Oryzias latipes: one gene and its partner. The protein of the gene in region 2 interacts with the protein of the main gene of each other region in a pairwise test. Links are inferred from orthologs where the notes say so. Each region holds a gene or a part of one and is shown on either strand. Other genes may lie near its edges.

Region 1 (6,282 bases), on a different chromosome or scaffold from region 2:
CAGGAAATGGCCGAGCGAGTTGTCCACAACCCCCTGCACAGTTTTGAAAGATAAACGAGAGGCAGTCCTAAAAAGAATGAAGAAATAAATAAAGAAATAAATAAAGAAAAGAAAATGCTTGATTTCAATCAGCCGATGGGATGATGTGCAAACATAGTGACAGAAAAGCTCCAGATCAAAATCAAACTGATGACCACGAGTCACACTGCTCCAAAGAAAGTCTGACTTGTCTATGTTTGTTTAGAGAAACTTTAAATCACAGTCAAAAACTGCATTTGAATGAAAAAAGTAAAGTACTTACTTTCAGAATATTTGAACACGAATGACTGATGATGGTTTGCAAATGCAGACCTCCTTCATGAAACATCAAAGTGAACATCTTCTCCTTTCATTAAGTGGGTTTTCTCCAGACACTCTGGCTTCCTAACAGTCCACAATCAGGCTTCATAGGTTAATTGGTGAATCTAAGAGTCTCTCTAGGTGTGCATTTATGAGTGTGTGTGGGAGTGCTTGTGTGCCCTGCAACAGACTGGCGATCTGTACCACGCCTTCGCTCAACAGTAGCTGGGACAGGCTCCAGCACCCTTTGGCTGGACTCGAAGTGATGCTATCCTTAACCAAAGCAAGGAGATTCAAATGTCAAATCAAACCAAATCCAGAGAATTAACCACAGGTTCCTCCACCTTCTGCCTCTGTGACCTAAACGGGTTAGATGATCTCAATGGGGAGGTTGCTTATCTCTGTCACCAGCACCACATGTCCACAACAGTAACCCACAGGAGTAAAGATCAACAGTAAGGTTTACATCACGCCTCTCTGCTCCATTTCTTCCAACAATCTCTTTACAGTTCAGAACATGTAATCCACCTTCAGATTTCTGCCCCTCCTTTTTTTTTTTTAAAGGCTTTGGAAGGTTCTGTCAACTTGGACCAGTCCAATTGGGCTGGTTTGTCAGTCTAAAGCTACGTTCACCCAGTCTTCTGCAACACGTGTTCAACCACTTCCAATGAAAAGTTATGTAAATGTGTGTTTCTGGATTCCGCGTTCAAAACTCTTGCGCTCACGCATCGTTAGTTTCTACAACCGATTTGAAATTTGTTGAATGCTTTGGAGGCAGTTTGTCAACTGTAAAGCGATGTTCACAGTGCCGTTGGCAAAATGCTATTAAGCAACACCTTCCAACTAAAGGCTTTTTCAAGGCGCGAAGAAGGGTGGCTCAGGATTCCATGTTGAAAACTTGCATCCATTCAAGTTTCTACAGCCGTTTTTAGCTCTGCATAAAAAACACATGACCATTTAAGGCGTTGTGAACTGTGTAGAGCGCGTTCTTGAACGCATCTCACCTGGCCAGTGTGAATGCAACATGAAACTCTTCTTCTATGGTTGAGGAAGGGCTATACTGCCTCCAAAAGTTCCTGTTGCGCTTTGCGATCCCAATTACTTTGTGGCTGGTGGTTATTATAACCATTTCAAATGACTAAAAGATAAAATACCGATACCAAATTAGCGTCTTTTTACAGTAGTTGACTAATCATTGACACCCCTAAATGACATAAAAAAGTAATTAAGAAAAAGAGCAAACAGAAGAACAGTCTGAACAAAATAGAATCAAATACACATTAATTCCAGTGCAACACATGACACAGAGCAAAGGTCCTGCTTTCAGCAAACACTTGACAAACAGTGGCTCTTTGTCTGCGATGAGCTAAAAATCGATTTGGCTGCTCTGCTTTGTCGTCCTAATGTGCACAGGCTTGAGCGCGGCATTCTTGGCATACCGCGCTTCGTCACGGGGTTTTCAACCACACACACCAGGTCCTGACTGGACAAACTGCATTTTGTGAACACAGTCCATGATTGAATCAGTTGCTTTAATCGCCCCCTCAAGCGAGCCCCACTGCCTTCTCTTCAAAGCACATTTCAACAGCTTCCAATAAGAAGATAATGGGAAGAAAACACACAGAAGGCTATTCAGCAGGAACTTTTAAAAATGTGACCCAAAAATCAGAGCAAGTAGATTTTTCCAACTAAAGACGCATCGGAGGGAATCAAATCTAAACGTTTGCACATGGAATTGATTTAATTCTCCAAGCTGAAGGTGAAGCAACATCCAAATAACGTTTAGTTTTACGTGAAAGCGACCCATGGAAACATTCACCACTCTGCAAGGGGGATAACAGGAAAAAATGCCAAGCAAGCCAGTTGAGAAATCCACCTGATATTTCAAGATTTCAACACCACTCAGTTATGCAACCAGCTCACCATTCACTGGGGGGGGAGCGACACACACACTTGTACTGAATTGCATTGAAGAGCTCAAAAAAACACAAAAAATTGTTTTGGGTGTTTTTAATAACATGTTCTTGTAGCCTTTTTTGATGATAAAAGACGTATATAGCAAAAAATTAAGATTAAGACTACATTTCTGACTATTTCTTTATTCAAATCCTGCCATTTGAAAAAAACTGTTTCTGATGGATCCATTTACAGACAAATAGATCCATGTACGTCTTTGTTTTGCTCGGCTGAGCTGGAATCTGGATCAAAACTGTACGACTGGCTCTAACATTGTTCACCATTTTTGTTCCACCGCTAGTGTTAGTTTGGGCTTGTGAGGGCTGTAAGCTAGCAGGAGAGAGTGTGATCAAATGGATAATTGGAGAGAGTTACTTCCATGCCATCAGCCATCAGTTCCCGCCCACAACTCCGAAGTGAAATTCTAATAAATTCCTGCCGCTCTGCAGAAACTATGTCCTAGTAAACGACAGGTTTATGATTTCGGCTAAAAACAGCATAATCATAATTAAAAGACCACTGGGAACGCTCTGAAAATAGAGCTTAAGATGATCAGACTGGGACTTAAAACCAGCATTAACCTGTAAAAATGAGCAAAAGGTGTGTGGTATAAACCACACAGCTGTGTCTCACCTACCTAACCCTTAAGTGTTGTTCAGTTGTTTGAAAGGACATGTTGCCTGCAGCATACCAGCAGGAAAAACTGTGCACAAACATTCGCTGTTTGGGTTAACCCCATACAGGTGTGTCCATTTTTCCCCTGCAGACAGCCCTTATCTACCTGTAAGGGCAGTTGTGACTAAGGCATAACCTTAAAGAAGAAGCTGAAACTACTTGAATGAGTCCATACATCAGCCCTTAAATGGTCAAGGATCAAATCTACTCATCTTCACCTCATCACATCCTGCGTTGACCAGCTCGTGCAGCATCTGTCGGTTCACCTCTCCGGCCTCTCCAGACTCGTTGGCGAAGGGCATGAGGGACTTGCGGATTTCTCTGAGTGCATTCTGGTAGTTGTTGAACTTCTGAGGCGGCCGGAGCTGCTGCTGTCGACTGGTTGTGTCCTTCCCGCTTTTCGAGTCGGAGCCTCTCTCAGAGCGGGAGCTTCCTCCATGCAGAGCTTGGCTCACCAGCTTGGCCGGCTGCTTCAGGCCTTCCTTAATCTCCTGGAGCCTCTGTCGCGTGTTGCCCACATACGGGGCTGCTGGGAAAGTCTTGGGTCTCATGGTCTGAGAGCCTGTGCCAGGGCACTAACTCTCAGAAGGAAAGCCCACACAGTCAGTCAGAAACTAGAGCAAGCTCCCCTGCACCCTCCCGAAAACGTCTCAAGCTATCTGACCTAAATAGATAAAGAGCCTCTGGGAGCAGTTCCTGTGGCCCTCAGTCGTTTGTGTCACACTGGGTGTCTCTGATTCCTGCTGTTGCTGGTGGGGTGGACGAAAGGGACGCACAATACTACAAGCATTCCATGGTGTGACTTCAAGGCTCGGGTTCCAACTTATTCCAGGAAGTGGAGCTGCTCATGAGGGCACTATGGAGCCAAACCATGACGGTGCCCATCTGCGCCTGTAAGGGAAAACACAGAGTTAGAATATGAAGATTTCAGCTATGCACTCTCCATCAAAGTCTCCATCTTGAATGTGAGAATGGGGAAGAACATAAAAAGGGATCCAACCTTCTTCTGTAACATAAGGTGAAGGACCTGGAACTCCAAATATGTTCCCAGTGGTCACAAAATGTCAAAACTGTAACCTAGGAGACTATTATTACCTGCAGGCCTGGGAGTCAAATTCCATACCAGCAGTGCATAAGCTCTGGGGCATACCTTCTGCATAATTCAGGAATACCAGTGGTCATAACCCCCCCCCCATGCATAGCTGCAGTTGCACCACTGAGCCACCCGCTCTCACTGCATAGTACTTCATCGCAGTCATCCATGAACACGCCTCCAAGAGGAAGGGGTCACATCAAGCGATGAAGCCCCTCTGACTGAGATGCTCCCGGACATATAACCCTTGTCTTATCTGGGAGGGGACATGCTCCACATTCTGCCACTGCGGCGTTATTCCTGCATTGCAGACAGGATGACGTGTGGCATACATGTTCCTAAATGAGGCGTCACGTGAGGAGCGAGGTGAGGCCTTCATTTAGATTAATGCTGACAGTTGGAAAAATAAAAGCGCAGCTGCTGTGACTCAGATTAGTTGCAGCGATATTGTCTTTTGTGCTTTCAATTTTTCCACATTTTCAGTTTTTCTGCTTTCAGAAAAATGACAAAAACTCAGTGTTTCCACAGCCATTTCCCCTGAAAGTCCCTAAAGAAGTCCTCATGTGATGACTGAGTTTCCGTTTTTCAACTGGTTCAGAAAAGCAAACCTGAATTAAACTCAGAGCCTTTTTCGTTTCAAACGCTAAAAGGCATTTGGTGGCATGAAAACGTCCACAGCAGCTCAAAACTTTCTGACAAAGTGGACAAACTCTCTATCTGAATGTATAAAAATCTCCATTCTATCTGATGCACAAAATAACTGGAAAAGTGGAGTAACTTTATGTGCATTTCCATATGAGAAACAACGAGGGGAAGGGGGCGGGGTTGTTCTGCCAAAGGTCTCAACCACAACTCACAGGTAAATTTCTAATAAACTACTGCTTCTCTGCATAAACTATGTCCTAAAAAAACAACAACAAAGGTTTTGATTTGTTTTTTAGGTTAAAAAACGGCATAATGATAACTAGAAGAACACTGGGAACGCGTTACAATAGATCAAAAGATGATTGGAGTTGGACTTTAATGAAGAAGAATAAATATTTCAAATTTCAACAATGCAACATCACAACACACCTTGACCTCTTTTTCTTTACAGCAACATAGTTTAAGGAAAAAAAAGCTATGTTTTATTTTTGTTTTTTAAAGAGATTAACGAAAGACTTAGGTCAATATTTTCCTAAAATAAACCCTAAAAACCCTCTAACTCATTGCACAGATATTTATAAAAGAAGGCGTGATAAACATTTAATAAGTCGTATATAATAATAGTGATGAAAATAAAAATAATGATAATATTGCTGGATTTGATTTTTCTGCGCTTTTCCAGACGCTCAAAGCACAATGTGTCTCCATTATTCTTTCACTCCTCATTCATACTTGGTGATGGTAACTACTGATGTAGCCACAGCTGAGACTTTCATACGCATTCACACACCAGTGGAGCCCCACTGGAGGTCAAAGGTCTTTCCCAAGGGCAACAACAATTGACTGGGGGAAGCAGGGATCGGGGGATCGAACCGCTGACCTGTTCAATCACCATAGCCACTGCTGCCCCAATATAGTAAATCATTCTTATTTGTCACTTTGGGAGTCATTCTATTAGAGCTGTCATTTATGATTATTTCAGTAGTCCCTTAGCCAACGATTACCTTTTTTAAATACGGTGATGGGCCTTTGTTTTATAATTTGTTTTTTAAAGGGGATGGTTATTGGTGCTGGTAATCAGTCCGTGGAGGTTTAGAATCAAATATAGTAATGCTAATGCTCGGCATATGGTGCATTCAAAAAAATTCCAATTTTACTCTTATAGTTCATGATTTTCAATTTCCCCTCATAAAAGATAAAAAGGTTTAAAGTCCCAGGTAAGCTATGTGTTAGCACAAAAAAAGAAAATAATTTGCTCGCAAGCTATAGGGTTCCTGATCCCTGCACTAAATCATTCTCTAAACTTCCCGTAGAAATAGTAAGCAAAAAAGATTTTTATGATCATGGGTTTCACTCTATTGCAATTAGTAACCAGTAAAATATTCTCCAATAGTTTTCCCTCCATTCATTTCCAAAAGTGATTAAGGTGGAAGCCAGGGTGCAGCACCCCAATCATGTCTTTAAATCCATCCTCTTCAAGCATTGACAGAGGTCTCATTCCTTTTAGAAACACGTTAAGGATGCTCTGTGGAAGTGTTGCAGCCGTCTCTGGTGTGCACTGGCTCCTCCCTAGT
Region 2 (6,282 bases):
CCCTGATAGCATAATGATAACATTATGTTAAAAGAGATTTAAAAAACTTTGTTAATTAAAAAAAATAATCATATTTTAGAAGGTTTGATTAGCAAAAAAAAGTAAAAACGATTACAATACAAAATTGAAAAATATTACATATTATAGAAATTGATGTGCAAAAGAGTTTAATGTATACAAATATAATTTCATAATACCATTTAATACAAATATTCAGTAAGTAAAAGAATAAAGTATATATTGTTAAAAATCCTTCTAAAAGTATACAACAAAAAAAGAATACAAATCAGTGTAAATTTGTTTTATGCATTTCATACTTTTCAAGTTTTATCAAGTTTATCTAATAAAACAATACATTAGAAAATATATAAACATATATTACCATAAATAAAAATATAAAAAGCTAAGACAAGTAAACGTCCTTAAAAATTTACATTTAAAAAAATTAAATTTTCAGTTTATTGTCATTGAGAGTTGCCATGTAGCCTCTGATCCTATCCTGATAGGGCAACAGTGTGTTTACATGCACTCCTCCTCCACAATGCATTCATACAATGACATTTACTGTCTGTGCTGCTCACAAGCTGTGAAATAGCACTCATCATGCTGTCACACTTGACGCCTGCAGGTGTTCAACCACACTGTCATTGTGAACACAAACCAATCACAATGTCTGCAGGCAGACATGCAAATCAATCCTTTCTATTGCTGTTTGTCCCTTTTTTTTATTTTTTAGAACTGCAGCTTTCCTCCACTTGCTGTCCTTTAAACCTTTTTTTCCTGCAGAAGCAGAGATAAAGGGACCGTCGGTAACCGCAACAGCAGGCATGAGTCACTGGGCTCTCACACTCCAGATAATGACACTGGAAGCCTCAGATGTGAGAGTCACAAGTTGGAACACAGAGCTGCAAAGAGCAGCTGGCAGGGGACATGATGGGGTTGAAATGAAACAAGGTGTGCTGCCGATGGAAGAACGGGAAATTTCCCACCAGGGTTCAGAACTGACAAGAGGACTTCAAGTTCCTGCAGAAAGAGTTTTTTGCAGCGGCAGGATTTATGCAAAAATGTTAGAATCAGATCCAAAATTGAAAATGATATTTTCACTTTCTATTGGGTAAAATTTTTTTTTGTCAGTTATCTATTTTACAGGTTGTTCCTCTTAGAAGGATGAGTTTTGTCTGAAATGATTGTTATGTAAAGCCCCAGGAATGATCCCATTCCATCCACACATACAACTCCTGTTTGTGACAAAAGCTATGAAGGTAAAAATGTCTCTAAATGGATGAACTTGTAGATTTGATGTGAGAACTTGTAAAATAAAATGTGAAAACTTGTGCACCAAAAATCTGCATCTGTGTGTAAAAATCTTCTGTTGTGAACTGACAAATTCCCATTTGCATGTGTTCATTTAGAGTTGCAACGTCAAATCTGTGAGTACAACTGCTCAAATGTGCTTCTGCGTGAATCTGCTGGCGCAAAACATATTCCTTGCTGCAAAACTTGTGTCAAACTGATCTGTGGAACTAGGGGGGAGGGAGGGTTAGAGGAGGGGGCAGACAACCAATCAGAGTCCAGCACTTAGAGAGCTTGGTAAAGTTAGAATAACTCTTCTGATAAACTGATTTTTTTTCTTTAGAAAGTTCCCTCTCTGTGAATAAAAAAAGATTGAGATACTTTTACGTTACGTTCATGGGGTCACCACAGGTGGTTTGGCAGACAGTTTTTACGCCGGATGCCCTTCCTGACACAACCCTGTATTTTCAGGGCACAGAGAGACCCAGATAGAACCCAGGCTTCCTGCGTGACACCCAGCTGACTGAGCCATCCAGCCACTTTACTACTGGAAATGAGGAAATAAGATAATCAGATTGTAGTTTGTGCTGACCTGCTACAGGCGTCCTATGGGTACTTGCGTATCACCTGCATATCCTGTGTGTGCAGAATTGCGTGCGGTCAGTAAGAAGTCAGTTCTTGCACCTTGCTAATGAGTGTGGCGTAAGGACACTGTACGCCAGCATCATTCGTACGGCATAAAGTGCGTGCAACTCCCACATATTTACGATACATCTACCACACGCACGACAATGGAACGTTTTCTACAACCCTCCATGGGCCTGGAATCCAGAAACCTGCAGCACCTATACAGGTGACTAAGGCTTTAAGCAACAACAGACCTGATAATCCTTTGAATTTCAATGTGAATCACCATCAGAGGAAAAAAATGACAAAAAATTGAGAATCTTTGTCGTTTTAAATGTTTTTAAGCTAAACTGCATTATAAAATAGTAGTTGAAGCTACATTTGACAATCTCAGGTATGGCGCCATGATCAACGCACCGATCTTTAGATCAGTGAGTGATGTATCTTAAAGTGTTTGTTTTAAAGCTACAGGGGACCACTGCAGTGCAGCAGGAGACTCGCTTAGCAATGACTGATGAAATGAACTACCTGTGATTAAACCGAAACGGGAGCCATGATAGGCGGACCGACCTTTTGCAGTGAATCTCTGTGCAGAAATAGATCTGGAAGTCCTCTGCATTGTGGAGCACATAGAGGAAGGCGCTGCGCTCGTCAAACTTGGAGATGCTGAGAAGAGACAGTCAAGAGTTATTCATGTTCTCTCTATATGAGGAATGATTTTATATTTTATTAAATCTAGGCTTCGCCAAAAGATATATGCTCAGCAAACAACTGGTGAGATGAAGTGTTTGTCCAGAGAGATGATGCTTTGTCCATCTTAGAATTTGCTGAGCCAGACATTGAAGTTTGTGTCACAGTGTGCTCTGGTTGGCATTGCAGCTCAGAGAGCTGCTATTGTGTCCTGCTGACTGTCTGCAGGCTGAGTGGGCTCAGGGAATGAGCCGTTCCTTAGCAACATGCAAGCACAACCCGTCCGATCCGATACTGAATTCCTTTGAGGGGCGTGCAGGGGAAAAAAAATATGGGAAGAAAATTCTTCCGTGGTGGTCTTTCATTTAGTCCAGTTAAGAGAGGCGACGGAAAACGACCTCCATGCTTTAAATTGTCCTTAATATCGGCCAACAAAACAAGCTGTTCCTGCTGTAAATGTTGGGATAAAGTCTGGAGAGTTGCTTGAAACAAGTCAAGACGAGAAAGAAAGCAACAGAATCAAGCTCTTGGAGTTAAATATAGGAGATAAGAAGTGTTTCTAAAACAGGAGCATTGGATTACAATCCCACTTCATGTTCCTGCCTGTTTATCTCCATCTTTCTCTTTAATGAGGAAGCTGGCATGAAGATAGCAGTTGGCAAAAATGTCAACCCACATGTAAAAGAAGGAGCTGAGGCTGATGTTTAGTACCTCAAATGACTCTTTTTGCCTTCCCCTTAAAGCTGCAGCAATGACCAGGAGTTTAACTGATGAGTAAAGTAGCGGTCACTTTGGGATGGTTTTTCCTTCCCACTTTCCTTTTCTATTGTTCTTTTTAATTAACATTTTAATTGAACATTTGGTGTAAATGTTTAGAATGAAGAAGAAGTGAGACACCCCACTTGTCTCAAGTTTTATGCATTTTGCTAACACACAAGCTCCAGGAGAGCCAACAGGAAATGGAACCGACAACCAGTCTAATGGGGTTTGGACCTGACCTGACACCCCGCACAGACTTGGCGTTGAAGTTCCACTCGTGGATCCCCTTGTTCTGTAGGACAGATAAAAAAAAAAAAACACGTTTACATTTTTTGTAATATCCATTCAAAGTTACAGTTTTTAACAGACTCAACTGGATGGTATTTTTAATCTAAATGAAGTAAACATCTGCCATCAGAGTATCAACAGTTTGTCCAGCTCCAGTTCTTGTTGGATATTCTCTCCTTTTTTCACTTAATTTAAGTGAAAACTTACCATGTGACAGTAAACCTGAGCTTGTTGGGTTTTAGAAGGACTTTAAAAGACAATTCTCAAAGAAAAGAATGAACAAAGGGAAACCTTTAAAAAACATAAAACCTAAGACCAGCACACACCAGAAATGCTCACACGTCTCTTTCTTCAACTTCAAGTCAACTCCAAAGTCTTCGTATTTATTTTCAAGTCAAATTTGAAAACTTTGGTGATGAAATCAACTTAAGTCTTGAGTCTTTGGTGATAAGTTCCAGTCAAGTCTCAAGTCTTTATCTGGTACTTCAAGTCAAGTCTCAATTTATTAGCTTTAACTATTAGTCAAGTCCAGCATCTTTAGCCGTATTTTCAAGTCAAGTCCCAAGTCTTGAGATGAAACTGTAAGTCAAGTCTCTGTATGTGAGACTTAATTCTGACTCAATTCCAAGTCCCAAGTCCCTGTCTCTCGGACTCACCACTGGCATGTAGGCCTGCACAATATATCGTAAATTTATCGTCATCGCGACATCAAGCTGTGAAATATGCATATCGTGAAAGACGGAGAAAATTGCAATAAATGGTTTCCTTAATGAGCTAAAACAATCTTATGAAGTATTTAACAAATCAAATAAATCCATTTATCCATTTGACCAATCAGAGGGACACCTTCCAGTTACCCAATCAGATGGAGCTCTTTTATCTTGGATGTTCATCTGTGTCAAGGAGGGTCACTTGGGGTATACTTTTTAAACTGTTGGAATGAAATGGGAATGCTTTTTTGGGTTGTTTTGCTATTTGTTATCACAATATTGATCACAAATATCACATATCGCAGGTCTTCCTCATATCGTGCAGCCCTACTGGCATGTGATGATGTACATCTAAGAATGCATTTCCTTATTTTAACAGTAGAGTCGTTTTTTCTCTGTCTTTCTATATTAAAAAAGCTTTTGGACCACATATCAACTCTTTGTTTGAAGAGAGGGCTTGTGAACCAATGAAACACTTTTTGAACCGTGAGGATAGTTTTGGGTTTGTTTCCTCACCAGCCAGCTGGTGCTGCTGTCAGTGACTGGAGGTAGAGGAGAGGGAATTTATGTACACTATTGCTGTTAAAATATTTGTATCACATGGCTCCACAGTTGTGCATCTCAGTCTGAGTTACAGGCGACTGATGGTGAGCATCAAACGCCAGCGCAGTTTGCGCTATACTTAATGTGAGCAGACCCTGAACCACAGCTGCACTGATTACTGAGGTGGTCTAGACGTTCAGGGGATAAACCTGTGTTTTGTGGTTCCACAGAGAGCGTCTCTTTAGCCGAATGTAGAGCAGTTTGACCTACTTTTAGGGTTTCACAATAACCACTAAACTTGAGGTGTATTGTGCACGCACAAACATGAACCACAACCAAAAACTGTCATGGATAATCCATTTCAATTCACCATTCAACTTCATTCAAAACTCAATTAAAAATCAAATGATTTTTTTTGTGACAAATTTGCATTCTAAACCATTATAGAAAAAAACATTTTACAATACTCACAAGAAACTGGACAAAGGCAGAACTTTTTTCAACAAAAGTATTCATTCCTACATAAAAAACGGACTATAAGTTGTTTTTTGCTTAACAAAAAAAGCAAAAAGTTATTTTGAGAACACATGTAATTAATCATTTGGATAATTTTTTTTACATTTTGTGTAAAAGATCAGTCAACTTTTTAATGCTCCGTCAGAATTTTGGGGGAAGCACTGCAGGAAAGGAGTTTTATGTACAAAGGAGACAGAAATAAACCCGCTTGTAGTATCATGTGATCATCATTTGTGTACCTTCACTAGTCCAGACATTTCTTAAACTTTCATCATTCACACATTGTTGCATTCATACAATGAACCTTTTTCCATTTTTTCTTTATCATAAAGAGCCCTTTACATTAGTTAAAGTCTATTTTTCCATAAAGCCAACGGACGAAACGTGTCAGTGTGAATCCTAAGACCTTTACAGAAAGGTTTTCCACACAAAATCATCATGACCTACCTTGTCATCGGGAGCAACATGCCAGATTGAGACAATATTGTCCTCCACATCTTTATTTATGGACAAATATGAAGGCTGGTAAACTTTGGTCGGTTCCAGAATCAACACCTAGACATGAAAGTCGATAGATTATCAATGAGAGATCAATTTCATGCAGACAAAACCTACTGATTTGGATTTGACTGTGACTTGCAGGGAATCGGACGGCGGAAACATCTTTTTTGGTTGCCTCCACCAGAAAGTCCATCCAAAAGTCCACCAGCTCCTGTTTGTTCTGGGGTGGTGGCTCTGAGCAGGGCTTTTTGAAGTGCTGGTAGATCAAAATGGTCTCCACCACTGAGCGCAGATACCTGGAACAGTAAAGGAGAACAAAAGTAGATCGGTCTTAATCAAAAAAACAAATAAATAT

The links.
Region 1: the proteins of map3k5 (region 2) and lats2 come close enough for resonance energy transfer, tested with the Homo sapiens proteins (2 studies listed by BioGRID, with this or other methods). The link is inferred for Oryzias latipes from reciprocal best matches to the Homo sapiens genes MAP3K5 and LATS2.

The regions. Positions count from the first base shown.
Region 1 is NC_019879.2:11,531,680-11,537,961, forward strand, and holds part of lats2 (serine/threonine-protein kinase LATS2), read right to left. Parts: intron 3,862-6,282; 5' UTR 3,522-3,861; coding exon 3,189-3,521; intron 1-3,188. UniProt on the Homo sapiens protein: Negative regulator of YAP1 in the Hippo signaling pathway that plays a pivotal role in organ size control and tumor suppression by restricting proliferation and promoting apoptosis.
Region 2 is NC_019882.2:18,744,048-18,750,329, forward strand, and holds part of map3k5 (mitogen-activated protein kinase kinase kinase 5), read right to left. Parts: intron 6,224-6,282; coding exon 6,067-6,223; intron 5,982-6,066; coding exon 5,874-5,981; intron 3,662-5,873; coding exon 3,609-3,661; intron 2,587-3,608; coding exon 2,491-2,586; intron 1-2,490. UniProt on the Homo sapiens protein: Serine/threonine kinase which acts as an essential component of the MAP kinase signal transduction pathway. Plays an important role in the cascades of cellular responses evoked by changes in the environment.